Linked DNA regions of Oreochromis niloticus. The protein of the gene in region 1 purifies or fractionates together with the protein of each later gene. This does not show direct contact. Links are inferred from orthologs where the notes say so. Each region holds a gene or a part of one and is shown in the gene's direction. Other genes may lie near its edges.

Evidence for each region.
Region 2: the proteins of l3mbtl1 (region 1) and anapc1 purify together in Homo sapiens (affinity purification with mass spectrometry; 4 studies listed by BioGRID and IntAct, counting the BioPlex papers as one, with this or other methods). This does not show direct contact. The link is inferred for Oreochromis niloticus from reciprocal best matches to the Homo sapiens genes L3MBTL1 and ANAPC1.

Annotation. Positions count from the first base shown.
Region 1 is NC_031984.2:24,630,305-24,647,073, forward strand, and holds the start of l3mbtl1 (lethal(3)malignant brain tumor-like protein 1), read left to right. Parts: upstream 1-9,194; 5' UTR 9,195-9,454; intron 9,455-10,520; 5' UTR 10,521-10,550; coding exon 10,551-10,728; intron 10,729-14,934; coding exon 14,935-15,116; intron 15,117-15,694; coding exon 15,695-15,821; intron 15,822-16,334; coding exon 16,335-16,512; intron 16,513-16,594; coding exon 16,595-16,730; intron 16,731-16,769. Other genes in the region: eif2s2 (eukaryotic translation initiation factor 2 subunit 2), read left to right, coding at 492-640, 754-810, 925-1,010, 1,120-1,295; serine/arginine-rich splicing factor 6, read left to right, coding at 4,176-4,282, 4,718-4,878, 6,527-6,645, 6,757-6,959, 7,092-7,169, 7,320-7,842. UniProt on the Homo sapiens protein: Polycomb group (PcG) protein that specifically recognizes and binds mono- and dimethyllysine residues on target proteins, thereby acting as a 'reader' of a network of post-translational modifications.
Region 2 is NC_031978.2:10,095,285-10,111,771, reverse strand, and holds the start of anapc1 (anaphase-promoting complex subunit 1), read left to right. Parts: upstream 1-9,554; 5' UTR 9,555-9,747; intron 9,748-10,540; 5' UTR 10,541-10,564; coding exon 10,565-10,780; intron 10,781-11,150; coding exon 11,151-11,315; intron 11,316-11,523; coding exon 11,524-11,566; intron 11,567-11,651; coding exon 11,652-11,749; intron 11,750-13,208; coding exon 13,209-13,291; intron 13,292-13,520; coding exon 13,521-13,594; intron 13,595-13,679; coding exon 13,680-13,825; intron 13,826-13,903; coding exon 13,904-14,061; intron 14,062-14,326; coding exon 14,327-14,455; intron 14,456-14,591; coding exon 14,592-14,810; intron 14,811-15,063; coding exon 15,064-15,159; intron 15,160-15,278; coding exon 15,279-15,369; intron 15,370-16,173; coding exon 16,174-16,239; intron 16,240-16,370; coding exon 16,371-16,487. UniProt on the Homo sapiens protein: Component of the anaphase promoting complex/cyclosome (APC/C), a cell cycle-regulated E3 ubiquitin ligase that controls progression through mitosis and the G1 phase of the cell cycle.

The DNA of each region.
Region 1 (16,769 bases):
ACTGTTGTATTTTTCTCTCTCTCATTAATAAATGTCCTGATGTTAAGACCTTAGCCCATTTGGTTTTGTGAGCCCCATCCCCACAGATTTTTTTAAACTGGAATTACTTTGCAAACAGTTTCTGCCTGAATAGAGCCAGTGTCCACTAACTTAGTGCTTTTATCTACATTTATGTTGAAGTTGTATTGAGTTTTGCACTGAATATTTAACGGCATTAAATGTACTTTTTGAATAGAGTTGTTAAAATCCCCCACTTATTGTTCTATGAGGAAATGAGTGAAACGGTTTGTAAAATTATAAAGGTGGATTTACCAGTTTGAGAACAGGGTTTATAAACAGCACAGATTTACACACTGCTTACCTTTTTATTTATTTTTTTTATTCTCAGCTGATCCCAGAGGGCTCTGAACTTCTGTCCTTTTATATTCTGTATTGAAAACTTTATGAACATAGACAAAAAAAACAAAGTCACAGTATTGTCTCTGTTCCAGCTCCTGAACAGAGTCTTCAACATAATGAGGGAGAAGAACCCCGACATGGTGGCTGGGGAGAAGAGGAAGTTTGTGATGAAGCCTCCCCAGGTGGTCCGAGTGGGAACCAAGAAAACCTCCTTTGTCAATTTCACAGACATCTGCAAACTGTGAGCCTCGTGTAGCTTTTTATATTTACTGACAGATGCATCTCAGTGACACTTGTAGTATGTGTGATTCACAAACTGATATTTTTATGTTTTTTTCATGCGATTAATCACAGGTTGCATCGTCAGCCTAAACATCTCCTCGCTTTTCTATTGGCTGAGCTGGGAACGAGGTACGCTTTTTGTATTTTAAGTGGTGTCAGTTCTCAAGCTAAGTTTGTGGCACGTTTTGTTTTTGTGTGTTCACTTTAAGTAAAAGTTTAATTTGCGTTTTTCTCTGTTAACAGCGGCTCCATTGACGGAAATAACCAGCTTGTGATCAAAGGCAGATTTCAACAGAAACAGATAGAAAATGTGTTGAGAAGATATATCAGTAAGTAGGAATGACATGTTCTTTACAGTGAAGTTACATTGATGGGGTAAAATTAAACCGTCCCTGCTTGTGAACAGTAATGTTGAGTGGACTGTTCTCACCCCTGCAGAGGAATATGTGACGTGTCACACCTGCCGCTCACCGGAGACCATCCTGCAGAAGGACACTCGTCTCTATTTCCTGCAGTGTGAGACGTGCCACTCCCGCTGCTCCGTTGCCAGCATCAAGACCGGTTTCCAGGCTGTGACGGGCAAGAGGGCGCAGCTCCGCGCCAAAGCTAACTAAAGGCCATTAAAACTGGGCTCCCCCCACCTCTTCTCACGGTCCGATCTTTCCCCATCAGAAGGGCCGAAGCTGGGGTCGGGCGCCCGCTTGATCTGCTAAAAGGACTCTCTGAATCGAACTGCGGGAGGGTTTGGCTGTCATTTTGGTTGTGTCACGGCCTGACCTGACAGGGAGTGAGAGTGTCTAAAGATGACAGATAGGGTTCAGGCACCTGTTAAACAACAGATGTTTGACACATACACTGCTGAAAGCATTTGATTTGTTTGGTTGGTGGACCCTCCAGCTCTTAGGGGTTTTTTTTTTTTGTTTGTTTGTTTTTTTTCTGTTTCCTATTTGCTGTGATTCTTGATTCCTCCAAAAAAAACCTTGATTTAACACAGCTTGAAGTTTACTTTTTGTTTATTTTCTCCCACTTTACATGCACCAGACATTAATATTTCTTCAGATTAGCCAAATTGTAGATAAGGTAAGTTCATCTACAGTAACAGAGCCTAGGAATAGTTTTTTTTCTTGAACTCAACTAAAGGGTGTGTTCATGTTTCTGCTCTTGTCCTAAATGATAATACAAAAAACTGTCAGTCTAGGATTTTCTACTCAAGCTTATAGAGACAAATCAGTCACGGGGCTGGAGTACATACAGGAACATGTCACTGAAACTAGTGTGTGAGGCTCCTAACACAGGACCTGCTTTTGATCATTTTGTAGCAGGAGACACAAAACCAGAAGACTTGGGGGCTGATGAAGGGGAGAGCAACATTAAGAGTACTCTAATAAAGGAGGCTGTTTATGAGACGAGTAGAAATTATTATTATACAGTATGTTTGTGAGTGCTTTTGTGGCACTGATGAGCAGTTTGTGTACTTATTTGATTAGAAAATTTTGTCAGCCACTTGAGGTTTGATGAAGTCAATTTGAAAATAAAGATTCAATTTTTCTCTTTTTTTTTCTCTCTCCGATGAGCAGGATTCATGAGCTAACGCCAGTCACTAAAATAATAAAGTAATAATAAACAACTTCTGAGCAGGCACCTCAGATCGTCTCCTCCTTCAGGTTCCTATTTTGCAGTGTGGTTAAAGAAATTTACACCAGAGTCTATCAATAAGTATCAATCTTAATTGTTTTGAGAGGAATGTGAATATAAAGGTCTCGCTGGAATCATTTTAAAACCTGGTTTTTACAAAAATAAAATATTCTACTCTCTCTCTCCACTACTTTCTCTGCTTGCATTAATGACAGTGCCTGTTTAGTAATTGTCAGTCATGGTAATGACGTTATGATGTTTTCACTCTGTCGCAATGGAAAAAGGTCGTAATGATCAGTGAACGGCTTTGGCTCTCGTCATTATGCCCCCCTCGCTTCACCCGTTTATAGATATGGCCATTTTTTTCGAGTCCCATTAAAATATTTAAGTCTTATTTGTGTGACTTGCTCAGATGTGATTGACGGTCCTTGTGAGGCCCACGGTTTGCTGTAATGATACAAACACAGACCCACAAGGTTAAAACATGAGCAGCTGATAACCATGGTAACTGGAGACAATGTCCTTGAGATCGGTAATAACATGTCGAGTTGCAGATTTATTTGGAACCTGACTGCAGGATAATATGGAAACTGGGTGCCATTGTTAGGTTTCCTCTGCAGGCCCAAATGTCACTATATCATTATATAATAGTTGTTGTTTTTTTAGCTGTGCTTAAACTACCAGTATGCAGGCGAACACATCAATCACTGATTTATAAGTCACATAAATCTGTCATAACCAGCCAGACTTAAGCACATAGCCTATCAGATAAGTACTCATTAATCTCCACCACTTGCCATATTATAAATGTGTTTCAACAATTTTATACAGCCAAACCATGGATGTTTAAGTTAAATTCACAAACTTTGCACTTATACTATTTGGAGTCAGAATATGGATGCTATAGATATAGTTCGCCAATTTATCCAATAGTTATCAAACCATTGAGGCTATGCTGTCTCAGTTCTGCTTCACTTTGTACAACTCAGACTTTCAATCAGTGCAACTCCAGGTGATGTCGCCTAAAGAAATACTCTGATTCTGCAGCAGCTGGATGTTTAAGTGATGAGGAGGAAATAGGCATTCAGAGCAAAAGTTAATGAATTTGTGGAGTGGTCATTGAGGAAGTATCCACTTCTGAATGTGAATAAGACCAAAGAAGTTGGTGACTGACTTTCAGAAGGACACGAACCGTGTGTATTCTGGGACAGACTGCTGATGTGGTGGAGGACTATGACTACCTGGGTAACCACATGAAAGGCCAGCACAGAGGCTTTAAACAGAAATTATAAATGATAGAGATAATCCGTCACGCAGCTGTGGGCCATATGCATCAGAAATGGTAATACCAACGGAGTGAATAAACTGAAGGCTGGTTCTGTGATTGGCTGCTAACGGGAATTTTTAAAGTCAACTTTATTGCAATAGAGACTTTACTATTCCAACAATTTACTGTTTAGATGTATGTTTTTTTAACTACCTAGTTTTTGTGACTGGAGGTGTTTTCTTTTTCTTTGTTTTTTTTTTCCTTTTTTGAATTAGTTAAGATGATCTCTGTATGTACCCAATGCAAACTACAGTTACAAAATGCCTCTAGTTGGAAATGACTGGGGTAGATTTTACATAGGATTTAACTAGTATTTTCCTCTCCTGTGCGTACTGTCTGCGGTTTTGTGTGATAAACGGTAGCTTTTAATTTGAAGTTCTGTTCCGGAAATTGATCATCGTTAGCTTCACGCTTATTGGCTGGATTTGGCGAAACAGCCGACCGGTTGCTGGCGCAGAGCTAACGGTAGTAGCATTCAGCAATTTCGGAGCAGTGGAAAGGAACAGTCGAGAACCACTGTAGGCGAACCACAATGCCTCGAGTTTATATCGGACGACTAAGCTATCATGTCCGCGAAAAAGATATTCAGCGTTTTTTCAGCGGCTATGGGAAGCTAATGGAGATTGATTTAAAAAACGGGTAAGTTTTCGGCGGAATTTTGTAAGCGAGAGTCCAACTAGCATGTCGTAGCTAGCATTAAAGCTAGCCATTCATGCGAACGACGCACGGACTCGCGGGGCATTTCACTCTTACGCAGATATATATATATATATATGTGTTTATATTTTTTTACAAGTTAAGTTTGATTCTAAAGGACAATATGTCGATGTCTGACATTTAGCATTGTCCTTGTAAATCTAAAAGGTTTTGTTTCTTTAACTTCATTCATGCACGTTTAGCAAATGTCGCGTGGCCAACATGGCGTCCTTATACTGTGCACGTCGCTGTGCTAACGTATGCTAACGCTAATTAGCTAGTTGATTCGTGGAAGTAAACGGGAACGCATTGCTTAAACTAATTTCATGTGGTTTTTAGTATTTCATACTCATGCATTTAAACCCTTTCTTTTTGCAGGTATGGATTCGTGGAGTTCGAAGATAATAGGGACGCCGACGACGCCGTTTACGAGCTAAACGGGAAGGAGCTGTGTGGGGAGCGGGTGATCGTCGAGCATGCCCGGGGCCCGCGACGAGACCGAGATGGCTACGGTGGGGGTTACTGGGGTGGTGGGCGCAGTAAGTGCAGTCTATTACAAGATACCCTCTCTTCCCCTTCCCCTTGGGGTGAGGTGTCGACGTGGACTGCACAGACAGCTGTTTGAATGATTCATGGTGACGCTAATTTTAACAGACTTGCCGCATAGGTTTACAGATACTCAGCTGGCCCTCGATCAGGTTTTTCCAGCTACCCCTCATGGGTTATAGCCAGCCGCGTGGGTAGCTCTTTAAGGCGCAGGTTGCATGCAGAGTTGTAGGACTGTCAGTAGAGCTATTGTTCATGTTGTCCATTATATCATGCAGTAACTTCATCACATGCAACCATGATTTATCTTCATTCTTATAAATCAGGGAGTCCAGTTTGGTTTGATATCACCCTGCTGAACAGTTCTCAGTCTGTCACCCAAGGGGTAGTGACCTGCAGGTTTTTGCTCCTCCATAGTGATTATCATCACGAGCTACATGCTATTTGATACTGCTTTATTTGATTGCAAGGGGCAACAATCTGCGAGATTTAAAGAGCAGTTTTGAGTCTAGAGTTTAGTGTTGTTAAATAACATAGTTTTCTTATCATACATTGTAAAATTCACTTGAACCATAACTGTCATTTGGGTGAGCCATGTGAAGGTGTCCTTTCTTTTTTGCACCAGAGGGGGAAAAAACAAGCTGAACACAAATCACGACATGCATAGCTACCTAGTTAGTGTAGTCATTAGGAGTAGACTAACATTTTCATGTGAAATGTGTTTTAACTTTGGTCTATATATATATAAATATATTTTTTTTTATATTCAACATTAACAAAAGTCCTTGATGTTTCAATTTGAAAGAGTCCAGTTGCGGGCTGAGGCTGAGAGTCCATTGAGGCTAAAGATGACTGGCTAAGATGACTGCCTGTCCCGTTTGGCCTTGGCTTTCACCTTACAATGTGTGTGTGACCTTTGCCCCCCCTTGATCCTTGGCTGACCTAACCGGAAGCCATGATGACAGCAGCCTTTTGCCAATAGACCAGGGGTGATGGTGAGGATTGCCATTGGTTTTTATGTTGACAGCAAACATAAGTGGATCGGCACCTTTACAGACCTTACAATCTAAAGAAATGTTGTAAGTTCAAAACTGGAAAAAAAGAATTTCAGACTGACATCCGGTTAAATAAAAAGATACCAATTTTCAAAAGATTGGTGTGTTTTTTAACACCGTAATCAATTTGAACAGTGTCCCTGACTGCAGCCTTTGTGGATGCCTCCTTTCTGTTTGTGTTACAGGATACAGAGGTCTTGAAAGAACATCACTGTCCATTTGTTTTATGCAGCTATAGCATCACAGAGTGATGTACTGGAGTAAGACAGATGCTGATTTGTGTTTTTTGTATTGCCGGAAACAGATGCAGTGGTGTTCTTTGCAGCAGAAAACAGCTTCCAAATGCTGAAAAATACAAACTTTAAAGAGCCCATGCAGTTGCTTGTAGAGCACTTAACTGAAGCTGTTTGAAAATGAGATCAAAGAAACCCCTTTGACTGTTAGTACAAATTTAAAACCCCCCAAGGACAATAATCTGGAAACTCACTGCCTTGAGTGCATTTGATAGCCCAGAGCAGTAGTACTTTGAATCTTGTTTGGTTTAGTGGTTTCTAACTATTTGTGTGTGCTGTTGTTTTTTTTAAAGGTAGCGGTTACAGCAGCCGCAGCCGCTCTGGCAGGGACAAATATGGGCCGCCAGTCCGCACAGAGTACCGCCTCATTGTCGAGAACTTATCCAGCCGCTGTAGTTGGCAGGACCTCAAGGTAAATATTTGAAAATAAGAGAGGGGAATCTTCAGATAAAGGGAAAATGTATTGTATAAGTGCTTGGTTTGAAATCAATACTCGGCACCTCATCCTCTTCCCGTCCACCAGGACTTCATGCGTCAGGCAGGAGAGGTGACCTATGCAGATGCCCACAAGGAACGCACTAATGAGGGAGTGATTGAGTTCCGGACGTATTCCGACATGAAGAGGGCTCTGGACAAGCTGGATGGTACTGACATCAACGGGCGGAAAATTCGCCTGGTGGAGGATCGTCCTCGCAGACGTCGGTCTTACTCTGGCAGCCGCTCCAGGTGAGCAAATTTCTTACTGCTGACTGCTTTTTAAGATGAGCCTTCCTTTTGTACATTTTGTTGCTCAAAGATTTTGTTTATTTAACAAGAAACTGATGTAATTTTTTCTGAATCATGCTCTGTCATCTTCAGATCTCGCAGTCGTCGGCGCTCCCGCAGCAGGAGAAGCAGGAGCAGGAGCTCAAAGAGTCGCTCCAGATCCCACTCGAGGTTAGGATCAATGTAATCTTGGAACAGTAACATAGAGATATGAATTAAATTATTGGTATTGATAAGTTCTTTGTTCAGTATGACATTTTGTCCAGGACATTGCTGTCATGTAAGGTGGGGCTGTACTGAGCTTTGCTTCTGTTCCTACAGGTCTCGTTCCCGCAGCAATAAGAGACGGCATCATTCCCGCTCCAGGTCTGAGAGAAAGTCTCGCTCCAAGTCAGGAGAACGCAAATCACGTTCTCGCACTCGCAGGTCTCGTTCTAGATCCAACAGATCCAACAAATCCAAATCTCGTTCACGCTCTCGCAAATCTCGGTCTCGCTCAGCCGAGCACAAGTCCAAGTCTCGTTCAAAGAGCCGCTCTAAGGTAAAGTCGGAGAGGGATTCTCGTAGCCGATCAAAGGAACGGTCTGCTGAGAAGAAGTCCCGCAGCCGCTCACCCTCTCCAGTAGAGAATGGAAAAGAAGAGCATGTGGCCAAATCTGCCTCTCGCTCCCCGTCTCCACAGGAGGAAGAGTGCCGATCCCAGTCCAGAGAAAAGCGCTCAGCCTCTCGCTCCAAGTCTCGCTCCAAGTCCCGATCCAAGTCTCCCTCCAAGTCCCGTTCAAAGTCCCGTTCAAAGTCCCGCTCCAGGTCTCGCTCACGGTCTAGATCAGCTTCTCAGGATTAGTGGGTGTAGAGAGGGGAGAGGTTTTCTTATTGTTTAGCTTGATCATTATGCTGTACATACTGAGCAATGTTTAATAACTGGTTTATGCTTCTGAGGCCCCCCCCTTCAAATGTACATTTGTCTTTTAACTTGTTAAAGCAGGAGTTTATTAGACCATCAACCACAATACAGCCAATGCTTTTTGGACTTGTTTCAGATTATCTGCTCCCTAAAAAAATAAAAAAAAATAAAATAAAATTTAGAATTTTGGATTAATGAAAATAATGGGTGCTGGGCTATACAACTATAGCCTGAGGAAGTTAATGTCTCTGTAACTGGTGCCTGATTTGGTAAAGTTTAGGTTTCTTACTGTTCTGCTTTCATTTAAAGTTGTTTGTTTGGTCAGTGAATATTAAGTTGTCTAAATGTTCTTTTATTCAGTTTGCAGCAGTTTGTTTTGGTTGTTAGTCTGACAGTTTGCTGTCCTTGTCTCCAGGCCTCTTATGTCTGAAGCATCCATCTTTGCTTGGTAATTATTTTGTGTTGTACTCATTCAGCTCGCATGATTGTTGAAGAGTAGGCTCCAGGACTGGAGCATTTGAGTTGTTGACCTGCGCATTCAGTCGCGTTCTTCGACGAATCAGTTTGTCTTCGTGTTAAACAATGAGTATTCAGGATGTAAGAGCTTGTAGTGCAGAGCTGCTTAATTTAAAGCTAATGAGGGTTTGGACTTACGTTTGAATAACTTGCATTGTAGATGGATTATTTTAACTACTTGTACATAGAGTAATCAGCACAAAGCAATTGGTCCCTTTCATCTTTTTGTAGCTTTTTGGGGGGAGGAGGTTTGTAACATTAAGCAGGTGATCTATTAAGGGCCTTTATTTTAGTTTTTGATTTTCAGTTTGACTAGAGACTCCTTTGCATTGTCCTGTTTTTCCTCAGATTCTTCCATTGCGCCGATTGCTTCCCTGGTAATGTTGTTTTCCCTCCCCAGCTTCAGAACAGACTGAAGGGTTTTGGACAGCCTTATTTAAAGTGTGCAGCTAGCACTGTTTTTGTACTGGAAAGGTCCATGTGTTCAGATCTCCTGTGAGTCTGTAAACATCAGACTCGCTGAATGCAGCCACACTCTCCATCTTGTGGAACTGACTTTTTTTCACCCCCCCCTAACATCTGAGATCCAATGGGGGAAAAAGTCCTTTTTTATGCTATGTTCAATAAAAGATCTTCATTAAAAAAATAAACTTGGTGCCTGACGTTGTTTTGTCTGGATTATGAAAACCTTGACTGCAGTATTGACATGACCTATATCCTGCTAATTATATAATAAACGCTCGCTCATTATAGGCTGCAGTTGTGGAGGAAATGAGCAGAGCGCGTATTTATGGTTGTAAGCGCGAACATTTCACTTGCATGCCAAATAAAAATCGTTACAGCAGCTATTTTACAGTTTTGCAGCTAATCGAGGGAGCACTGTTATTATTTTTTTCACCTATCGACCATTACTGAAAGTGGAGCGACGCACTGGAAGTCTTTCTTTTGGCGTTATATTATAGCCAACGAGCGGTGACTGTACTGTGGACCCGCGCATGCGCAATCGGAGCCCCGGAGCCGCAGGAGATCAGAGCTGGTAAGCCAAATTTCAGTTCCTGAAAACCGAAAACACGAATTAAAATCAATTTTTAGAACTTTCCTCTAATTATAGAAGACAGAAGCATCTTTTAGTCACACTGGGTTTAAAAAGAAACCCGCCAGTCTGTTGTTTATTTTTTTTTTTCTCCCCTCACCGAGGTAAACCGTTTTTGGCGTCAGAGATGTAATCAAGCACAAAGCTTATCATCTTTAATATATAAATTTGATAATGGCTAGCGGATCTTTGACGTAGCCTGTTTAAATACAAATTTTAAATTTAAAGCAGTTGCGCCAAGGTTTCAAAAATACCCGGCACACTTAACGCTGTTATGAGGAGAAAATGTTGCTCATTCATTAAAGATATTGCCGGAATGGGCGATAAGGTTGCTTTTTTCATTAAATGGGATTTTCACAGGAATTGAGCCTCTGCTTTAGCACATTTTTTGCCTCAAGGATTTCAGATCCTCCGCCATTTTAACTGAAATGCTGTATTTTAGTCTCTGTCGGTGTGTGTGTGTGTGTGTGTAGACTTGGGAGCTTGCGCGTAAATATTGGTGTGTCACCATTATTCTTTTATTATTGGAAGGAATGCATGGTTTTTAAAAGTTCATTGCTGTTTTGCCTTATTGGAAATACTTTTAGAGGAAGATTTTTTTTTTTTTTTTGTAGGTTAAATTGTGTTACATTTTTAAAGTAAAATTTAAACTCTGTGCTGTACTTTGGATACATAGTATTTTATTGAATGATAAAAGCGGTGCTAATGTGGTAAATTAAAAAGATGTTTCAAGATAGCAGAAAATAACATAATAATTTAAGATTTGAATTTTGTATATGCCTCTAAATCGGACATATTCCAATAGAGAAATATATTTATTTAAAAACAACAAACAACATAAAAATGAAAGCTTAAATTGGCGGGATTCCTCTGGCGTCCATACTGTGGCACTCCCTCCTCAGGTTTTGGGTACAGTCTCCTCCATAAATCTTTAACACACAATGTTAAAGCTGTTACCCTATAACCAGACAGCATTACTTTGTGTTATTTCTCATGCTGTGTCTCCCAGTGCTCCAGCACAACACACTGGGACGCCGTCATGAGTGCCAAAGTGAACATGGAGGCTCCAGCCAAAGAACCGGACTGCACCCCTATGGATCCGTCATCTTCGTCTCCCACAGAGACAATCCTCATCTGCGGGGGTGATGGTGTGGCCAAGAAGGCTCGGCCTCAGCCCCACACCACCACTGCTCTCCTGCTACCAGGTGAACTCATATGTAAGGATGTTCACAGATACATACTCTACTAAAGCACTGTTGGGGAAAACACTGATAGTGTCTTCTGACCTCATTAGACTGAAAAACGAATTGAGAAGTGAGCCTTTAAGTAACCAGCAGTGTAATCATTTACCAGGCAAAGTGTAAGGTCATAGTTCAGAATTTACACCTGCAATGTTTAACCTCATTCACAGGCATCACATTACAAAACAAGGGTCGTTTTAATGGTTGACTTAATAACATCACATAGAAATATATACACAAAAGATGCAACTCATCTTATTAGGTCCCTGTTCACAAAGCTGTGAGTTTAAAAATCAACTCTGAGTCTTCATTTCCAGAAAACCTTCATAGACTTACTAAACGGCTTCAGATCATTCTTTCAGTAATTCAGGTCAGGCTTATCGATGAAAAATCTGCATTTGTGATTAAAAAACATCCAATGAAAATTAATGTTAATTAAAAAGTCATCTTTTCTTTTCATTGAACAAGTCATGCGCTTTAAATCTCAGTCTAATAAAATCATTAGCTGGATACATTTAAATTAAAATGTAAAAATTTACCTCTTTTACTTTAGGAGAGCAGATTCACCATGGCAACAGGTAAACAAGGAGCAGAGCCTCGTTTTAGTCCGTTTAGAAGTGCGGAAAAGAGTAATTTTATTGAGCCACGGGCCGTTCGATCATCATCATACACAATATAAATGTTCGATATGAAATATCTAACTTCTCTGTATTGACTGTGGTGATTATTTAGCCAACTTTTTATTAGATGAAGCTGGAGTTCTGATTTTTTAACCCTAATGATTGAGCTGTAACCTGACAGGGACAAAATCTAGGAGACGTCCGGGAAGATAAGAATCTGGAGAAACAGACGAGCCACACTTTACTGATGGACCTGTGAGATTAGTAACCGATACGGCAACAGACAGTCTGCCCTCAAGTCAGTTTTGGTTCAGTAAAAAAACAGTTATTGCAGCAGTTTATAACCATTACATTATTTTTCCAATAATTATTCAGTAAAAATTTAATGTACTGATGGGCTGTAAGAATTTCATTTTTCACAGAGGATTTCATTATGTCTGCCATTACTGGATAAAAGTTTTTAATTAGATTTAGAGGAAAAACTGTGCTTTAATGTTCCCCAGTGTAAGCGTTCATAATTTTATGGAATATCAGCCTTCAGTGATAGATGATGGCTCTCTTACGGCAACAGTAGAGATGTTTTACTCAGTTACTGGTTGCCTGATAGTAAGACTTTGCATGTTACCATAGACAAACATGTTTTTAGAAATGTCTCAGCTTTTCTAGAGCTGTTTACAGATATTTTAGTGTAATTCTGGGAGGGTGAGGCACTTTCAATAAGGAATACAGATTGTATCGGGACAAATTAAGCCGCTATGAGTGGATCTGGTGGAGATGAGCCGGATCCAGACCTGATCCAGTCTGATTCCATGATGCTTATCTGAGCGCATCCTTAAACGTCACTGTAAAACAACATTGAACTCAGTTTTAGTCTTTTTAGCCTCATCCTTAATCAAATATTCTCAACATCCCCAAGACCCAGCCGTGACAGTCATTTTTCCATCAGTGTGACTGATTACAGCACAACACATGATTGATAACTTAAACAGTGATTGCTGCAGCAAATGTTTAAAGTGTGGGCAAACTGACTGACAGTGTGACAGCTGCATTACTGTCCATAGAGATTCAGCTTTAGAAAGACCGAGACTATAGATTTAAATCTGAACTGACAATAAGTCTAAGATGTAATCGCTGTCTCCATCTTCATGTTGATTACTGATCGATTATAAAAGTGGTCATGTTAGGTACAGAAAACAGTGAACTAAGCATGCCCACTTCTGTGAATGAATTTGCCCCGTTGTGCAGTTTGACAGCGACTTTATGAATGAGAAATTAAACTGCATGTCAGTTCGGGCATAACGAGAGGGGAGGAGTCAGAGAGAGAAACTTGGTAACCATGGTAACTACTCAGAGTTGAAGTTACCTCTCGTTCAGGGGAAGAAAACCAGTGTTTCCTTCAATTTAGGTTTAACAAATTCAGAGTTGTTTACTAAGCCTGCTTCCTGGAATCGGGCCGGCTTATGGTTTAAGGACTGTTAAAGATGCTACATCCACTACCAGTCAAAAGTTTGGACACACCTTCTCATTACTTTAAGAACTGAAGGTCAGACAGTCCGGAAAATAGCTAAACCTTGAATGCAGTGCAGCTGCAAAAACCATCAAGCGCTACGATGAAACTGGCTAACATGAGGACCGTTCCAGGAAAGGAAGACCAAGAGTTACCTCTGCTGCTGAGGATAAATTCATCCGACCAGCCTCAGAAATCGCAAGTTAACAGCAACCCAGATTAGAGCCCAGATAAATGCCGCACAGAGTTCCAGTAGGAGACATATCTGTACATCAACTGTTCAGAGGAGACTTTGCGAATCAGGCCTTTATGGTCAAATAGCTGCTAAGAAACCAATACAAGCAAAAACAACAACAAGCAGAAGAGATTTGTTTGGGCCAAGAAACACAATTATCAAAATTAGCACAAACACATTAGACCAGTGGAAATCTGTGCTTTGGTGTCATTGTCCAAATTTAAGATCTTTGGTTCCACCCGCCGTGTCTTTGTGCGACGTAGAAAAGGTGAACAGTTGGTCTCTACATGCATGGTTCCCACCGTGAAGCATGGAGGAGGAGGTGTGATGGTGTGGGGGTGCTTTGCTGGTGACACTGTTGGGGATTTATTTAAAATTGAAGGCACACTGAACCAGCATGGCTACCACAGCATCTTGCACCAACATGCCATCCCATACGGTTTGCATTTAGTTGGACCATCATTTATTTTTAACAGGACAATGACCCCAAACACACCTCCAGGCTGTGTAAGGGCTATTTGACCAAGAAGGAGAGTGATGAGTGCTGCGCCAGATGGCCTGGCCTCCACAGTCACATGACCTAAACCCAGTCGAGATGGTTTGGGATGAGATGGACCACAGAGTGAAGGCAAAATGACCAACAAGATGCTGAGCATATCTGGGAACTTCTTCAAAACTATTGGAAAATCATTTCATGAAAATCATTGAGAGAAGGCCAAGAGTATGCAAAGCAGTAATAGAAGCAAAGGGTAGCTATTACGAAGAATCTAAAATATAAAACATGAGTTATTTCACATGTTTTTGTTTACTACATAACTCCATATGTGTTCATTCTTAGTTTTGATCCCTTCAGTGAGAATCTACAATTTAAATAGTCATGAAAATAAAGAAAAAACATTAAATAAGAAGGTGTGTTCAAACTTTTGACCGGTCGTGCATAGAGTTCACTCAGCCACTCCTCACTGCATGTGCAAATCCTGACAAATCTTCCAATGCCTGTTCATAATTATACAATAATTTTGAATGCATAATTTTTAATTCAGAGTTTCCATGTTCAATATTATCATGTTTGTTTGTGAAAACCTTTAAGTTTTGATGTGTTGGCCGGACAAAGCAACACTTTCTGAGGCGTTAGCTCTAGCTCACCAAAGCTGTGGAAGTTTTTTACTTTTTTAATTTTATTAACAAAAGAGTAAATCAGGTAATTAAAACTGTGTTTGTCCAAAATAACAACAACATCAAGAAAACAGTTTGATTGCTTCCAAAATCTCTGCTCTGTATTAGAGAAACCAAGACTGTTGTTGTCACTTAAAACTGAAATAAAAACCATAACAAAGTTTTGGGGGGAAAAAACACTTTAATGAACTGAAGTAAAAATTAAAATCAGACAGAATTTATTTCCCGACATAATCCTCCCATTTATCCGACTTGGCATTAGAAGCACATAAGCTTGTGACCCTCTCTGAGGCCGGGTCTGTGCCCCTGGGATCTTTTACAAACGTGTTAATCACTAATAACAATAATATAACACTAATAAGCAGCAGATACTGATTTCTGTTGCAGTTTCTCATGTCAGAGAAATGTGCAGTAAAACTGAGTGTGAAAACTGAGTGATGATATTAGCAGCTGTTTAACAGTTTTGTGAATCGTGCTGATAACCAAGCCTGTCTGTAAATCTATAGAAACAAACAAATACTATTTGCCTGGTTGTCACGGCGACAGAGCGCTGTTTTTCCTTTACCATTTATAGTGAGTAAAGCAGAGGACAATGAACTACATCACTTTGTGCTTTATTATTCCAAGTGCATCTTTTTCCTCAGCTCCTGCCCATCAGAAGGTGGAGGTGACTCCAGCTGTTGCAGTGGGTAACCCAGGTAAAGGAAGCAGAGCCAATGAGATGGCCACGCCTGCACTGACAGCACAGGTGGGCGGAGCTTGTAGCATTGTCCATGTCCTAGAGTTGAAGGAGGGGATGGCCATCCTGCCCAGTAGCAACCTCAAGGTAAAGTGATATTAAGCTTCGCTGTGGTTTAAAAAAAGTCATTGAAAGTTGTTTTTATTTCTTTTTTGACAAAGTCCTGAAAAACTTCTCACATGTATAAAAATCAGCTTAGAATTTTATTATTATTATTTTACATGTCTTCATTCAAGCATTTTTTATACGCCAGCAGTGAGCAAACTGAGCGCCTAACTGCTGATGTGAACAAAGTTGTAATTTAACAGTCTGCTGAGAAAGAACTTGATTTGAGTAGTTTTAAGGAGAGCACATCGACAAAGCTGAACCACCTAAAGAAAATGTGATCCTCGTTATTGCAGATTTAAAAAAGAAAAAAGGATATGCTAATCAAAATAAGAATACAAATCTTTAAAATCATCATATTTAGTTTTCTTTACTCTTTAAAGGCTGTGAGACAGAACAGACAAGAAAGCAGCAACGATAATATATATATATATATACATATATATATATATATATATGTATATGTATATTTTAAAGCAGCATACAGTTTGTAAAGACACGGACACATTTTGACAGATGGTGCACTGATGCGTGTGTGTGTGTGTGTATTTGTCTTGTAGTTCTGTGTGAGTGACTTAGGAGCTCTGAGCACACTGATCACCCCGGGCACCGCCAGCAGCACCGCTGAACCTGCAGCAGGGACTTCTGGGAGATCCACTGACGCAGAAAGAGTTCCAGACAAGCCAGGTAGACTCGTGGTTACATAAGGTCATAGTAATATCAGGCACAGACACACAAATGCTGCACTCTGGTGAATCATTTACATTTTGCACACACAAAGCAGAAAACAGTTTGGAACCGGTCACCTCCACGATAACAGATTTTTATACTACTTAGCCACATGTGTTTGTGATATTTTAACACATATTTCATAACCAAAGCAGCTTTTATACCATGTGTGATATTTCCAATCTAACAGTGAGTAAAACTAGTTGTAGTGTTACACGTGTCATGCTGCTTTAAACAGCCTGCACTTTTATTTGAAGTACTAAACAGCATGGGCTCAGTCATCTGTGTGTGTGTGTGTGTGTATTAAGCATAAATGAGTGGTAATTACATCAGCTGTAGCAGAGCTTCTCTTTACAAGTGAAGAGGTTGCAGCTGCAGATTTCTTTGTAAACATTTAAAATCCAGCTGAGAAACTTTGAAAAGTCAAAGAATATTCAATAAAGATGCAGACGGGCGTGTTTTCACCTGCAGCCCTGTCTGTGACAGATGCGTCGGCTCCTGCCGGCTCTGGGAGGGGCGTGGCCCTGGAGCCAGAGAGGTTGGTGCCGGTCAAAGCCGAAGTCCAGGTTGATCCAGGACAACAGAACCATAATCCCAGAGCTCAGAGGACCTACACAGAGGAGCTCCGCAGAGACCCCATCACTGACAAGTATGTGCCCCGCTGCTCAGCCTTTATGTTTACGCGCCTCGCTCCATGCGCATAAGCTCATCTTTCGTTCCCCGCGCCTCAGGAGGAGCGTTGGCGTGGAGAAGGTGCCGGCAGGCGGGAGAGTCTCCCTCAACCCCGATCACTTGAAACCCATGAGGAAGAGGAAAAGGAAGGAGTACCTGAGTCCATCTGAGGAAGACTCTGACATCGAGGGCACGGTGGAACCGCGTTGCTATTTCAGTTTTAAAGGCGCTTTT
Region 2 (16,487 bases), on another chromosome or scaffold:
ATTTTGAGAAAGGCAGTGGGTCTGAGGTTGATGAAATAGCATTTTAAAATATCACAATGACACTGTTTTTACCATTTCTGATGAAACACTCTCAGGCAGCAAACCAACATGATGAGATGATGTTAAGATGACAAATATTTGGGGAATTCTGGGCTATATACAGATGAGGACAAAATTCTTCGTCCACCTTTTGAAATTTAACGTTATTGTCAAAATTTTCCCAAGTGCTTCTTTAATAGAGTATGCGATTTTCAGCATACGTAATGGTATCTAAAGAAAAGTTTTTCACATAATAGAACTATTTCAGGAAAAAATAAAAATGACCAGGGTCAGTTTAATTAGCACAAAGTACTGATGGGCAACGATGTGCTTTAACTTTGCAATGCTCAAAGTTTGTAAATTCAAGTTGAAGCTGAGACTGATCTTCCAGTTTAAACACAGTATAAAAGCAAGGGCTTGAGCTGTCACTTCAGAAAGCATCATGTCAAAAACAAAAGAAATCAGCTTAGACTTGAGAAAAAGAACTGATGATTTCCACAAAGCAGGAGATGGATAAATAGAGCATCTCCCTCCAAGAGTTAAGAACTAGAGTGAGAAGTATCATCAAGAAATTCAAAGAGTGTCACACAATACAGAACAAGCCTGGCAGAAGTAGGGAACAAAATATTTCAAATATTTAAAAAAAAAAAAAAGCTATCAAGAGATTTTTCTGAAGACCACAGAACAACTGCCAAGACACAAGTGAATAAAGTCAGAATTTGCCAAAGAACTGAAGAATTGTCTCAAAGTAGACAATCACTTGAACCTTGCACAAGAATGGACTACAGATCAAGAAAAACTCCTCTGCTGGAGAACAGACACCTTCTAACTATACTGAAGCATGCATACGGAAAGTGTGCCACAAAAGGCAGATGAGACAAAATTATAGGTCTTTTGCAATGCTGCTTGTCATGGTCAACAGGCAGGCCAGACTCAAATGCAGGAGTCAGAAAGCAGGTTAAGTGAATTTATTTTTTATAGTTCATGTAGTAAATTAACTATTTACAGAATCTTCTTGCAAGGGGTAATCCACAGTCTTTATTTACAAAACAATCTTCAGGTAGTGAGTCCAAGTCTGCAGAGTTGAATCCTTGCAAGCACAGAATCTCCTCCACAGTTCTCTCCCTCACATGAACACCATAGCTGGGAAATGGCCAGGATTCTGCACAAAGGAGATGGGAGATTAGCAATCCTCAGAGAGATAAATAAATCCAGACTTCCAGGACAGCAGGATTCACTAACACAGGCAGTGCAACAGTCAGGCAAAGGATGAAGGTTTGTCTCCAGCTTAAGTAGGCTGCCAGCAGATTAACTGATGATGAACAGGTTCTCGCAGGTGTGCCAAGAGAAGGGCAGAGATCCAGGAAGACCCCACCGTAAGGTAAGGCATGATTATCCACACACACACACACACACACACACACACACTCACACACACACACACACAGAGAGAGAGAGAACTGGCAGGGATGTCTAGGAGGAATGGAGGACCATGACAGCTTCTTATGTTTGAAAAGAGAAGGGAGAGGCATATGACTCAAAGAACACCATCCCCACAGTCGGACATGGTGGTGGGGATATGCTTTAGCAGCTTTGAGAGTGGAACTGGGAATCTCATCAACGTAGAAGGAATCATTAAGAAAGAAGAATATGTGAAGATTCTAAAAGTAAACCTCAGGCAGCCAGCAGGGGGATTCAGAGCAAACTGGCCCTGACTTCTATCGCATTGGGATATTCAGCTCACCCACACACTAACAATTTGTAGGGTGAACTGAAGGCCAAAGTCAGAAAACTATCAAATCTGGAAAGCTTCAGAGACTAGCCAAAGAAGTGGGAATGAGACTGTTTAAGAGACGTGTGTAAGACTTCTTGAAAACATCAGAAAATTACTGCAGGCAAAAAGGATGACTAGTTATTAACATGATTTTGATCCTGTTAGTTTTCATTTTTTTTGCTAAATAATTTTACTTCTGTGTCCAAACTAACATAAAAAAATAAATTAAATTAAATAATTTAAGCATCCAAAACAAAATTAGGATGTTTGTAAAGGCTGTGTTGAAAAACCCTTGCTCTGTTTAAGAGCACTTGGAAAATACTTTTGAAAAATAAATTGTTATCGGTCTAATAATTCTGTATATAAGCAATACCTCCAGGTCCCCTTCTTTTATTTAGTCATATCTCTCTATATAAATAAAAATAACATCTATGAAAGTTTCAATATGTGTCAAAACTATAATACAGATTAGATTTTCAGATTAAATGGGGTAAATGATATCTAATTCGTTTTAGCATATTTCTGATATTGCCAAACACCAAAGTTATACAGCAGTCTAATGCCTTTGGATATATGGTATAACGGACTGGTTTACCTGGCTTTATACAACTCGTGCATTCACCCAATCATTTCTAAGGATTTATCTAAGGTTTTTAGTGCTTCTATCTAGCATTCACACTCCGATGGCAACATGGGGTCAGTATCTTGCCCAAGGATATTTGGCATGTGGGCTGGAGGAGCCTGGGATCGAACCACCAACCTTCCAGTGAGTCGCTCTACCACCTGAGCTATGGCCACCCCAAATATACTGGGTGATTTAGTATTACATCAAAATGGTCACCAGTATATAGGCACTGATGCTAACTGAAAACAGTTATTGATATAAATGGTTCCTTGGAATAACTTGGAATAACTTGGAATAACTTGCATGTAAATGTTGCTGAACTGCAGAGCTCCTTCAGTGACAGACTGCTGCATCCTAGATGCATGAAGGAGCGTTTCCGCAGATCCTTCCTCCCTGCAGCTGTCAGACTGTACAATCAGAACTGCTCCCAACAAACATAGATGTTTACATCAGCACTGTAACTGCACTAAGTTAATTAACCGATTCGCACTACAACCTGGTTTGCCTCTTATCTGTAGTTATTTATATTTAATTTAATAACTGTACAGTACTCTCTGTATATAGTAACCATTGTCCTTAATGTAAATATGTAAGAAAAATTGTGTATGTTTCTGTTCTGTGTCCTGTGTACTGTTTGTTTGTATATATGTCTTTTTGGCTGCTGTTACAACCAAATTTCTCCTTGTGGGACAATTAAAGGATTATTCTATTCTATTCTATTTGCCAGTACATAAGCTCATCCCTGTGTCATATCATTAGAAGGGCCTGTTGCTTCACTCTCTCTGGCTGTTAATTAAGTTGTGCTGGATCACTTTTGTAGATACAGTGTCACATGTGACACTGGCTCACAACTTCTAATAGCTTAACATGTTAGCTGTGCTCTGCTTATCTTCTGAAAGAAACAGCTGACTTCCCCCAGTTTGCTTACTCTCTCCCAGCTCTCTCTTTTTTGAGACTTTAAAGTTTCTTTCTTGGGGACTCATTAGGAGTCAAATGCATAGAATAAATGATGTTTTTGTTTCATAAAGAAAAGCCTAAATCTGCAGCCACACTGGAAATGATTTGCACCAATATGGTGACCATAGAACATAGAGAGTAAATGATATTCAACAGTTTCAAAGTTGTAGCAAAATGATGCAGACGTTGGTTAGGATTATCCATGATGGGTAACAGTTTATTAATGGACCTCTTCTATATTACATCTTTAAAAGTGTCTAATTTTCTGCCATCACAGAGCCAGCCTTCCTAATCAGTTGGGTCTGTTGGAGTCACCAGGTCTGATGCTGCTCCCTACACACTGTGCTCACCAAAACTGTGAATCTCAATCATTGTGTTGCACACACTGAGTGATCTCAGCTTCCTTAGGAAACAGAACCTGCTCGCTCCCTTTTTGTACACAGCTTCTGTGTTCGTCTTTCAGTTCATTCTGCTGTTAGTGTGGTACTTGTACTCCTCCACCACATGAACATCCTGTCCCTGGACATGTTGTGTAGTCTTTTCTCTATGAAGTCAGTCACCATTTCTCTGGTCTTATATTCAGAAGCAAATGATTAGTTTAAGATCACTCCTCAAAATAATACTCTCAAAACTAGCAGCCTCCCAAAAGAAACATGAATTATGATATGAATTAAGTATTTATAAAACTTTTAACACACTCACAAACAAATGAACAAAATGCAGTGAATAAACAAAAGAGAAATCTAAGTCAAATCAGGGTGTTACCACCCTTTGCCTTCAAAACAGCATCAATTCTTCTACACACACTTGCACACAGTTTTTGAAGGAACTTGTCTGGTAGGTTGTTCCAAACATCTTGGAGAACTAACCACAGATCTTCTGTGGATGTAGGCTGTCTCCTAATGTAATCCCAGACACACTCGATGATGTTGAGATCAGGGCTCTGTGGGGGCCATACCATCACTCTTCTTTATGATTAAGATAGTTCTTAATGACTTTGGCTGTATGTTTGGGGTCATTGTCCTGCAAAATGAATACATTTGGGGCCAATAAACAATCATTTATATTTATGAAAGCATTCTTTGTTTAAAGCAATTTACACCTGCCTAAAACTTTTGCACAGTACATTGTATATGTATATATACATTAATATATTCATCTTAATGGTTTATTAATCTACTGAGACTTCGTAGTTAATCTTGCTTCAACTTTTTAAATGACACCATGAACACATTATGTATAAGCTTTTTTTATCAAGAAAAACATGTATGTCTCTATTTCTAAATCACATACTAAGGAGGAGTAATGGGCTATAAAAGTACTCTGCCCTTCCCCTCCTGCCTGTCACCAACATTTCCCACAACTGAAGGTTCGTCAGAGTATTTCTGTAAGTGGCATGACACAGAGCTGTACTGAAAGTCTGAGATGTACAGCCCTTGTAACTTACCAGTTTACACTCTCACAAACATTTCCACGTATTTATAAATCATCCAGTACTATTACACTGTCATATACAAGTTTAACTTTTAAACACAAAAGAAATACTAATGAAAACTAAACACTCAAAATTAACACATTTATATTACTCATCCCTCTGAAATTGGCATTAATTATTTTTCAGGGGAATTAAATTTGCATTGTTTTTTTTTTAAGTGAAGCCAATTTATCAAAATTTACAGTGTTACTTATACTTAAGCATTATTTAGTCAAATCTAACCTTAAAAAAAAAAAAAATCTAACCTTACAATGGAAGTGGTTCGCCTGCATTTTATTTATAATAACCTTGCATGAGAAGTGACTGAAGATACTGAAGGTAAAACTTAAAAGTACGGAGCTTTAGACACCCTTCAATATAACATATCCACTACTGAGAGGCTTGAAAATGACCATAAAGTGAAACCAAATTTTTACTTTTAACACAGGTTGCTGAAATACATTCGATTATATTGGTGCTTCTGATGTATTTGTCAAACTGAGCAACAGCTGTGATGGAGTGAAATGTTACAAAGAGCCATCAGTCTACTCAGATTCTCTCTTTGCTGCTCACTTGGAACATTTAAGCAATTTCTCTCAACTACTAGAGTGCGACTTTATCAGTGTCCCTCCCCAGCCGGCTTCAGTGCGTCACCACAGCCCCTCAGTAATGAAGTCTGAGCATCTATGGCAAGATGACCTCACCACAAAGAGCCAATCTGCCACAGCTAAAAGAGTGTAATGAGGTGTCTGTCATGGTTATATGAGCGTTATATGTTGAGATATAGTGTTGTAAAGTCTTCATTTTCATGGAAAGGCAGCATGAAAAAAATCCAATTTTATCCAATATAATAACAGCTTGTGCAATAATTCTTTTTGTTCTTTTGTACTCAGCAACACCTTAGAAGGTTGCGCTGCAGTAGAATTTACATAAATCAACTGTGTTTTTACAACTTTTACTGTTTATATAGTTTTTCTTAGGGCCAAATAAGTCAAGCTGATATATGAAAAACACATTCTTATTTATAATGCCATGGAATTTAATGGTCCTTGTCGTTTTCTAAATGAGGAAACTTTGTTTATGACAACAAAATTATCAGTTGAAGTTATGAAATTTTGTGTGTTGATGTATGAATAGATGATCCTTGAGAGCTAAAAACTTTTTCCTCCCTAAAAAATATTGTATTAGTTAGAAATTAGGAATTAGTAATTACTACATTTTTGCTAATTAATTATTGTCCAGTTACTTTTGAGAATCTGAAAATCCTAAACATTTCATACGACAATATAAGATTTATTAAATCCACTGTAATGAATTAAAGCTGAATCTGAACTTTCTTTACATCTTGATTGTCCGATTTAAAATCCGCGTGGTGGTGTAAAAAATGCAAAATTACAAAAAATAGCATTTTTGTCCATGTATTTAAGGACCTACCTGTAAACATTTTACAGGCAACAACAACTGCAACAACCTGCCATGGAAGAAGAAGAGGAGAAAGGATGTGGACTGCTATTTAGATAGCGTTCTTTTAGTGTTAGAAACATGCTTATGAGTCTAAGCTTGTTTAACAAGAGGGTGCCATGGTCCTCAGTATTTGACCCAGTGTTTTAAGTTTGTTATTCTTTGTTCTTAGTTAAGAGTTTTTTTTCTCATCTATTATTTCCTGTGTTCTTGGAATGATAGCTTATGTGCTCGAGTTTTTCGATTCTTGGTTATAATTTAGTCCTCAAGTTTCAGTTAATGTCTATTTTCAACTAGCATTCTGCTTAGGGTTATTTGATTTAGTCTCTTGTGATTTTCTTAGCTTTCCTGTTAGTGTCAATTTTGTATGCTAGTCATTGTCTCAGTGTTTAGTTACTTTATCTTTTATTTTGCTAGTCACTTGTCATGTCAGTTAGATTCTGTGGCTGTTTCTTTGCTCCCTAACTACCTCTTATGTGTATTTATGCCCTGAGTTTTCCTTAGTTCTTTGTCATGTCCTCCCTCATTTGTTGTGTGTCTCCCTGCATTGTGTTCCAGTGTTTTCTGCCCCTGTTTAGGTTTGTTCTGTGAGTTACCAGCAACATAACAGAGTGTTTGAGTTGACTCTCGTACCCCATGTTCTGTATTTTGGTCCAAATCCTGCTTGCTACATAACTGAACAGGACAGAGAAACTGTAGAAAATATGAAGATGCCGAGAAGTCCAAAAGATTTTTCAATGTTGGCAGTATTTGTTTTTATTTCAGTATAATTAATGTTTTCTCATGCAAATGTGAGTGTTTTCATGCTTTACAAAGTAAACCTAGAATGTGAAACTCAAGGTTTTTGCGATCAGCATCTGGAGAGTATTCACTGATACAGATCAGTCAATTATACTCAGAATGAGGCAATAATTTGGGGCAGAAGTCATTTAGTGCTAGTGAAAGCATGCAGGAGAGGATGATGAGAATTCAATTTAGAGCCAAAAATTGGTGTTATTTTCAGGCAATTATGTGAAATACACAATAGACTGGGAAAAGACAACAACTGTTAGTCAGAGATGGAATAACATTCTCTCACTTTATTTATCTGCCTTTCCTTCCCTGACAGACACATACTCCCCAGTGAGCTGCAGTGATATCATTTGTGAGAGTTAACTCATTCAGATCATACCTTGTTGCACTGCGACATCCATCACATCCATGAGCACCGAGCCACTCCCAGCTTCCTACATCAGTGTATTTTCTCATGACTGCGTTGTGCAGACTTTGATTTCTTTGAGGCAGAAGGATGAAATTCATGACATAACTGCTCTTAATAATATTGGAGTAGGCCTAAATGTTTTCTTTTTCTTATAAATAACTACAGTAATGATGTAAACCATAGCTTTTCAAACATAGCAAAACTTGTTTAAAATGTGATTAGAAAATTAATAAAAGAAGCTAAACATTTAAACAGATGTGATATTCTTTTAAATGTAACATAAAAATTACAGTTTTCTTTGAATATTGAGTCTAAATATCTGTGTGACTTTGAAGACGTGCTGTTAATCACTCACTACTTCCCCCATTAAATATCAGCATATTTACTCCTAATTGAGGTGACAGTTATTTTCTCTGCTCTGTTTATTAATATCCTCCAAGTTTAACATCATCAAGTCTGAAAGTCAAACATCAGTGTTTGAGATGGTTTTTGGATCCAAACCTCATTTTGGTTATCAGTTAATTAAAATAATTTTCAATTTTTTTTCAGTTTTGTTTTATGTATTTTATTTAGCATACAAATAAAAAGTTAATTAATTAATTAATTAATTATTATTAATTAAATACTGAAAAATACATCTGATCTGTTTGATAAACTGAAATATCTGTCAGCCAGATAGTTACTGTTGCTGGCTATTTTTTAAAAGTATCATAAACATACAAGAAATTACATATAAATATTTCATTATTTTAAGTGCAAAGGATTTCATCCTCAAAAATCATGGTTGTTGTCAAACCACTATAGTCACTCTAGAACACTTACAGTGGAACTATTATGGTCACAGTATATTTAAACAGAGTGACTTTGCATTATTCACAGTTCTCTACTAGACCTTGGTAAAATTTATTCGCCGTCTAAAAATATTTTAGATTATCTTTCTTTAAAGCCATCCTCCTTTTAAACCCAATTTGTTGTGATAGACTGGCCCTCACATATAGAAGGGTTGAACAGCAGAAATATGGGGGTAATACATAATTAAATTACAGCTTTAAATAAATTTAATAGATATTCAAAAACGTTTTATTGCTACAAGACATAATATTTGTAGTATTAGAATAGAATAGAATAGAATAGAATAGAATAGAATAGAATAGCCTTTTATTGTCACTGTTACAAGAACAGTGAAAGGCAGTTTGGCATCTCTCCATGTGTGTGGAGTACACAATAGCGTAAGTATTTACACAATAACAGACAAATTTACATTTACACAAGAAAGATATGCACAAGTTATACATACACCTGCAAACATACACCCACATACACACATATATGTATATATATATATTTGCATCCGTACATGCATACACACACATATTTCCACATACACGCTTACATCTATATACATACACATACATGCCATCTAACAGTGCAGTGTGATCAGTGATATTGCACATTGAGTGTGGTGTGTGTGGGGGGGTGGGATGATATTGCACATTGAGTGTGTGTGTGTGTGTGGGGCGGGATGATATTGCACATTGAGTGGGGGGAGGGGGGGGGGTGCTGTTGGAACTATACTAAATAATGTTATAATAAATACAGTTTAAAGAGGTAAGGGTGTTGGTTGCATTGAAGTAGCCTATTGTGCAGTATTATTTATATCCTCGACATCTCTGAGCCTCTTGCTTTCCTTTCCGAAAGCTTTCACTTTACTGGAAGCCTCAAGTGCAAATTTACCAATGGTCTCTAATAGTAAATGTCCCTAAAGAAAGACATAAACAAATGAGTTTCGTTTTATTTATTTATTTTTCATCTTCAAATATCTATATATACCTAGATTTTCTACAAATACTGTTGGTATTTTATTTTTTAAATTATATTTTATATTAATTATATTATATTTTTAATTTGTGGCTGAATTACTTATATAAAACATCCTGCTCATCACAGTCTTTCTTAGTAGTGTCCATAGCGCTGACGAAGGCAGCCTATCAGCTGTCAGCATATCGCCTCCTCGCTGCTGATTGGCTGACTCGTGGAGGAATGGGATGTCGGGACAGCAAAGATGTCCGCGCTCATTTGAAAACCTGCTATAGGCGAATACGGAATTTGCCACTTGTCTTTATGTTTGTAGGGTGACAACGTTGTGCTCAAGCGAGACGCATTGAAAGGAAAGATAAGGACTCCGCGACAAGGGCCAGACTATTCCTTATTATCAGGTTAGCGGCTAAATGTCTCCCTGTAAGCTTAAAGCTAGCTGCAGCTAATGGTAGCTAGCATGCTAGTCGGGCCGTTTCAATGGTGTTTAGTGTCAGCATGCAGACTCATAGCTGACTGTCAAGTTGTATATTTATGTAATTTACAGCGTCTTAGTGTCTGTAGAGTACCGAATTTTGTTTGTGGGAGTTTTTGAGGTAAGAACTTCCAGCTAACTTCTAGCATGTCGCGTCTATCAAAGTCAACAGAAACTTGCTACGGTGGAAGTACTGTGGAAATTGTTAATGAGATTTCTATCCCCTACTATGTTGACCCCTCTAACGGGATAGTTTCAGTAATAGTAAAGGTCCAGTGAGCCTGCTTCAGCCAGCTAAGTTGTCGATGTGTTAATAGAGAACATTATTTAGCCACCAGTAATGCAATCTGTCCTACAGTCAAGTAAATGAAATAAAGTTATTTACGCAGAAGAAGTTTATTTACACCTCATCTTATACTCACTGGTATTTACTGTACTTTACAGATAGCCTACTGATAAAAGTAATCTCATCATTAATGTTATAAAGAGAAAATGAAAGAACAGTTTATGTGAAACTCTTGGTTCTTAAATACTACAGTAAACTTGTCTCGAGGATCCATACTTTATTTTTATCGTGTTAAATAATCGATATGAATACTACAGCTAAACGGACTGGTATGGCGCAAATTGGTGATGCTCTTCAGTTGTATTGTGTCTGGAAAAAAGTCTTGCTTGCTTTTAAATACTGTCATTTATACCTCAAACTCTGTTCTTCCCAGAAATAATGCTGATATCTGAAACTCATGTCGGAAGTCGTGTATGAAGAGACAGCCACGATGATTGCCGCAGGGGAATTGCAGTCATTTGTCCCGTTTGGCCGCGAGCACTGCAGGAACCATCCAAACGCCTTCAACCTGCAGCTCAGAGAGCTCCAGCCTGCCTCCGAGCTGTGGGCATCAGATGGTGCTGCTGGCCTGGTGGGGTCCCTGCAGGAAGTCAGTCTGCAGGAGAGAGAGAGGGTGAGAGTGTCTAGTATTATGATCTATAATGTTTCATAATAGGAGTGGGCCATCTAACAGTCTTATTTAATGGATAGCCTGAATTGTTCTCCTGACCTGCTCTTCAGAAGAACTAGTGTGTATTAAACAGTAAAAATATAAGAAGAAAAATGGTAAATGGAATACACCTAAAGGATTTAATTTTTTTTCATTAATATATCTTTAATTACTTTAAATCTTTACTTATTTTTTATTTATTTTTTACAGTAATATAGTCAATGCAATTGTTACAACACTGCTGCACTGCTTTCATGAAGGCAGTACTTCATGTGTTGTTAAGCTCAAATGTGGTTTTGATTTGGTTTTTGTGTTGATGTGATTTGAATGGCAGGAATTTTGGCAGCTTAGGAAGGGCTGCAAGGGAGTCAAAGAGGAAGATATGGAATTTGAAGAAGAACTCTATGCAGCAGGAAACGTGGTTGTCTGGAGCCAGGGTAGTAGGGCTCAAGCTTCCAGCGTATATAAGGCCTTCACTGTTGACAGCCCAGTGCAGCAGGTCTGTTTCTGATTGTTTTGTGTACTATATGGTCTCTCATAATTGTGCTTGTCCATTCTCATTTCTAAGGGCAAATGAGGGACCATGTTGTTTTCTGTCAGGAATCAGTATGGCTTTTGCTTTACTATATGGATTGTATATCGTCCGCGATGATTGTCAGGATTCTGTGCTCTAAGACTTGAAACAGTTTTTTTTTTATTATCTCCAGGCCTTGTGGTGCAACTTTGCTGCTCCTCACAAGAAGAATGATGGTACTGTGTCTTTTTGTGCAGTTTTTTGCTTATTCATATTGCAGTCCTGATGAACAAAACACAGAATGTATTTAATGTTTTGCAGAGGAAGAAGTGGAGCTCACAGTGTGTATTGTCCAGAGTAGCTGTGTTAATGTTCACACCATGACTGGAAAAGACTTCATCTCACCACTGCCCTTCCAGGTGAGGTATAGAGCAATGGGGAATGTTTATATCCAGAGAAGGAGATGGGTCTACACATGAGCCACAAAATTCTTTTAAATCTGTGTGACTCAGTTGGACCTCCACTACCTAAACTTCCACCTCAACACAGATGCACGCTGACATACAGCAGTAACTGCAGGCTTCTTTGTGTGTCTCCCATGTTCCAGAACGCTGCTGAATAAAAGGATAATTTGATTAGTGGATGCATAAGTCTCTGAAACATTACCCCACCTCGCAGCTGAACTAAAACCACACAACCCACCACATTTGGATTAGGGATATTTCTCAGAGCCATTATTGGGTAACCATTTTCTGGTTAACCAGTAATGATAGAAAATTTGCATCACTGACAGTGGGAAGTAAGTGTGTGTGAGTTTATGTGTGTGCATAGCTATGTGTATTTACGAGTGTCTTTCACTCAGTAGTCTGTTGCACACCAACAAAATATAATTTGATTTAGGGATGTGTTTTCAACATTTGAGTTTTGTTTTGTTTTGTTTTGTTTTTAAACTTGAGGCATGTGGAGTTCGTGATAAAGCATTTTATATTTTCTTACGGGAAAGGTTGGACACACACTCTTACTAAATAATTGAATTTAATAAAGAGGCAAGTAAACCGTGGGTTGGTGTTGTGAGAAAGGCAAGAAACACCTTGTGAGAGCCTTTGTGACAGGAAGAATCCCCACTGCTGTGGTGTCCCTGACACTGAAGCTCTCAGGGTGTTGCACTTTTCTTAACCTTTCAGTGCTGTTTTTAAGTGGCAGAGAATATCATTAGTATTAGTTTCAATAGAAAGTTATTTAAGATAATTTAAAAATAGTACAAGTAACCGTTTTTTAAAATAAGAATTTTAAAAGCTGAATTAGAACCCAATTGGTTGGGATGTAAAAAACAAAGTTTTGTGAATATTGTCAGTTTTTCAATATTAATTTATACATGGCTGTATTAAACTACTCTAGGAAAGCAAAGAAAACAAGTGGCGCATCTAGCCTTAAAATAAATATCTGACAGAGACTTTATTCATGATTGTTGGACAAAATTTAACCTAGCTATGAATTTTATTATTCACTGGTCGTGATGGATCTGTGTAAACAGAGTGCAGTTTTTTGTATCCTTTTATATGCAGATCAAAATATTGAACATTTTAACATTTAAGGGGGCAGCATGGACACCCAAGTTTGTGAATGCAATAATTTAAGAATGAAGTCACATAGGATTTTGAAAATTATACCATAGGTGTATCTACTAAAAATCTTGTACTAGTTTGAATCTCAGAAACCTTGACCTCATGAGAACAAGGCGATGTAAAATTTGGAACTGCATACTTCTACTAGGAGGCTGGGGAGTACCACCGGCTGCCATCAGTGTTTTTATAATTGTTGATACCAGACATCTGTTGTTAAAAATATTTCATGTCTGTACTGTCTTTTCTTTTCAAGGTGTCACATGTGTGGGCAACAAAGTTTGGACTTCTTATGGAACGTAAAAACACAGCAAATGATGCACAATTCAGCCCCCCTGGGTACATGCTAACACTTTATACTTCCAATCACATGCTTGCACAAGTACACGACACATGTTTCGATTAATCAATACATCCATGTGAAATAATGTAGTGACAAACATTTCTAGAATGATAACAGCCTCACAAACCTACACTGACCATAACATAAAACAGTGCGGGAAGTATATAACCAAGGGATTGAGCTCTTTTTTTTTTTTTCTTTTTTTTTCCCTCCCCCCCTACACAGGGAACCTCTGCCCACAGTGTTCAGCATGCTGCATCCTTTAGATGAGATCGCACCAGTTGTATGTAAACCTGCAGGTATGAGACACTGATCTTCTCAGAATGAGATCTTGTGAACTTATTTCATATTTTTCCTGAATTTGTACATATTTGTTTTTTCCAGGCCTGTTTGAAGGCTCCCGTGTGCAGTATGTGTCTGACTCCGCCATGAAGATAGTGTTCACCTGCTGTCAGCCATCTATAGTTGTATCATATGACACAGTTCAAGGAATACACTCTGTCTGGACTCTGCGCAAAGTCACACATGATGTGAGTGATCATGAATACACACAAACACACTAAAACCAACTAAGTTCTTCCTAAACTAAAGCCTTTTAACCCTATCAGGAGCGCTCTACAGTCCTGCGGTGTCCGGCAGAACCGGTCGGGACACCGTTGGGTCTGATGGCTTCAGGCTTTCTCACTTCTCATTTGCGGAATGTCTCCCGTCTTGACTCCCCTGGTGGCACTGGTCCAAGTGGGCATAGTCTTGGGACTGGAACAAGGTACTGAAAGTGAAGCAGCCTAATCAAGTGATTAGCAGACGGGCAGGAATTAGTTACCGTCTCGTTACATTTCTGAGTAGTTTCTAAAGCAAAAGTCCCACTGTCTAAAGATAGCTCCTCAGTTATTGGGGTTACTGCTGTGTCATACAGACAGAACAATAAAGTGATACTTAATGGATTATTTCGCCTTAAAAATAATTACAAGTTAAAAACTTAGAGACCAAAACGTCAACATCTGACCTGGTTACTGTTTTTCTTCCTGCAGTGCTGTTGGTTCCAGCTCTCCCCTCCACTACAGTGCTTTGCACAGCCACCAGAGCAGGATTGTCACATCCTCACCAGGAATTCACTCTCGAGTTCATTCTCCAAGTATATCCAACATGGCCGCCCTCAGGTGAGGTTAACTGAGCCAAAGAGGGCCATACTCTTTTCTGAAAGCACGTACTCATTCACTTTGTGACAACAGGTAAAAAAAACCCCCATAATAGTTAAAAACTGAAAAATGCTTATCCACTGTCCCCCTGTCTCAGCCGTGCCCACTCTCCAGGCATGGCAGCTCCATCCTTTTCAGGTGTGGCTCGTTTCAACACGTCTTTGCACAGCCCATCCCCCAGGGGGCACCATGGCTTGTTAGCTTCTCCCAACAGTACTATCAATGAGACAGTGTTGGTCCCAGAGATGGAACCTATCATACCTGACCTCTGCATGGAGCAGCTGTGGAGTGAGGCGGTCACTGCTGGCTCCAACAGGTAATTGGCAGCATTGGACTCTGACTTCACTGCAATATGCAGTGAAAACTCGAATGTTCTTGCAAAGTTGCTCATTAGCCTTTAGATCAAAGTTTGTGAGCAACTTGTTCTTCTTGTTTGCATAATACACAACTTTTTTTAAAGACATCATTTGTATTCTATGTAATACAGTTCTTTCTGTAGCTTGACGCTGTTCAGATTTAGCAAATTCTGCTGTTTGACATCAGTTTGCATCTCTTTTTACCATTTGCAGGGAAATGAGCAGCCAGGCATCTAAAGTATTCCTGACCTCTGATCTCTGTGAGAATCACTATCTGTGTTTCCTGGTGGAATCTCACCAACAGCTCAGGTAAACAAACATACACACATCTCTGCACATGTCCAAACATCTTTCTCCACCCTAATTTGTTGTGTAATGTGAGTTCACGAGTTAACTTTTTTTTTCCGTGATCATTTTATTTTCTGCAGATGTGTGAAGTTTATTGAGAGCAATGATACATCACAGCTCATCTTCCCCTCTGTCACAACCATCTCTGCTAAAGATGCAGAGCCTCTGCAGGTACATTATAAAATTCTATCATTGGAGAGTTGAAAGGGAAAGTGCAGAAGTTAAAACGGAAGAAAACACAGTATTCATTAGAGTCAGGGTCAATATCAAGTTTATGGTGCTGTACTGTGCTGCAAAATAGTCCTTAGCAGGCTCTTCCACCTTAACAAATTGTTGCATGGGTGGTGTAAAGTTGTAAGCAATGTGTAGGAGGCCTTCCTGTATTTTTTTTTTTTTTTAATCTTATCCGGATGATAACATGTTTTGCAAGATATAATTAAGGTTTTCCTTGCTACCTACAGGAACTAATGTGTGTGTGTGTATATATATATGAGATAAATCTCTTCCGCAGAGGATTTCGTGAAAAACTGTAATTAAAACTTTAAAAAAAAAAATTAAAAACTGTAATTATTGATCATAGTGGTTGTTATGTCCGGTCCATGCCTATCAAAAAAGTCCAATAGCAAAATATTTTTTCTAGTTTAGATCAGGTAGGTCATTCTTTCCTGAAACTTTTAGTTTTCTCCATCATCTGGATGGTAGAACTACCATGTGACCTGAAGTCTCCCAGGAAAACTATGGAGTTGGATGCTTGAATTTTGGAGCAGAAACCAGTGATTTATATTTATTCATTATCATTTCAACTTTTAAGTTATTTTTTTAAGTATGCACATTTACAGGTTCTACCATCTTGTGTGAATATTTGATAATTTTCTTTGTATTCAGTTGTTGACAACTGGGGAAATTACAGCAGGAGTTTTTTTTTTTCCTGAGTAATATTCAACGTGTTTCTGACAATGAAACTTTGCTCCTCAGAGTATAGATGCCATGCTAGTTCTGGAGGCCTGTGGTAGTTTGGTTCTCTATACAGGAATCACCAGGGTAAGTACAGACTAAAGCTTGATACACAGCTGCCTTTGCTTACTGTAGACAACAATTGAGTTTTGAGATTTTTTTTTTTTTTTTATAACACTGTAATGAATCATGCTATTGTTTTCTTGGTTGTCACATAGGTCAGCAAGGTGTTTGTCCCTGGACTCTTGTCACCTTCCTTCAGCCTGACCAATCACCTCCCTCACCGCAGCACTCCAGTGGAAACTGTTAGCACACCTGCTAACGCTGGCAGTAGG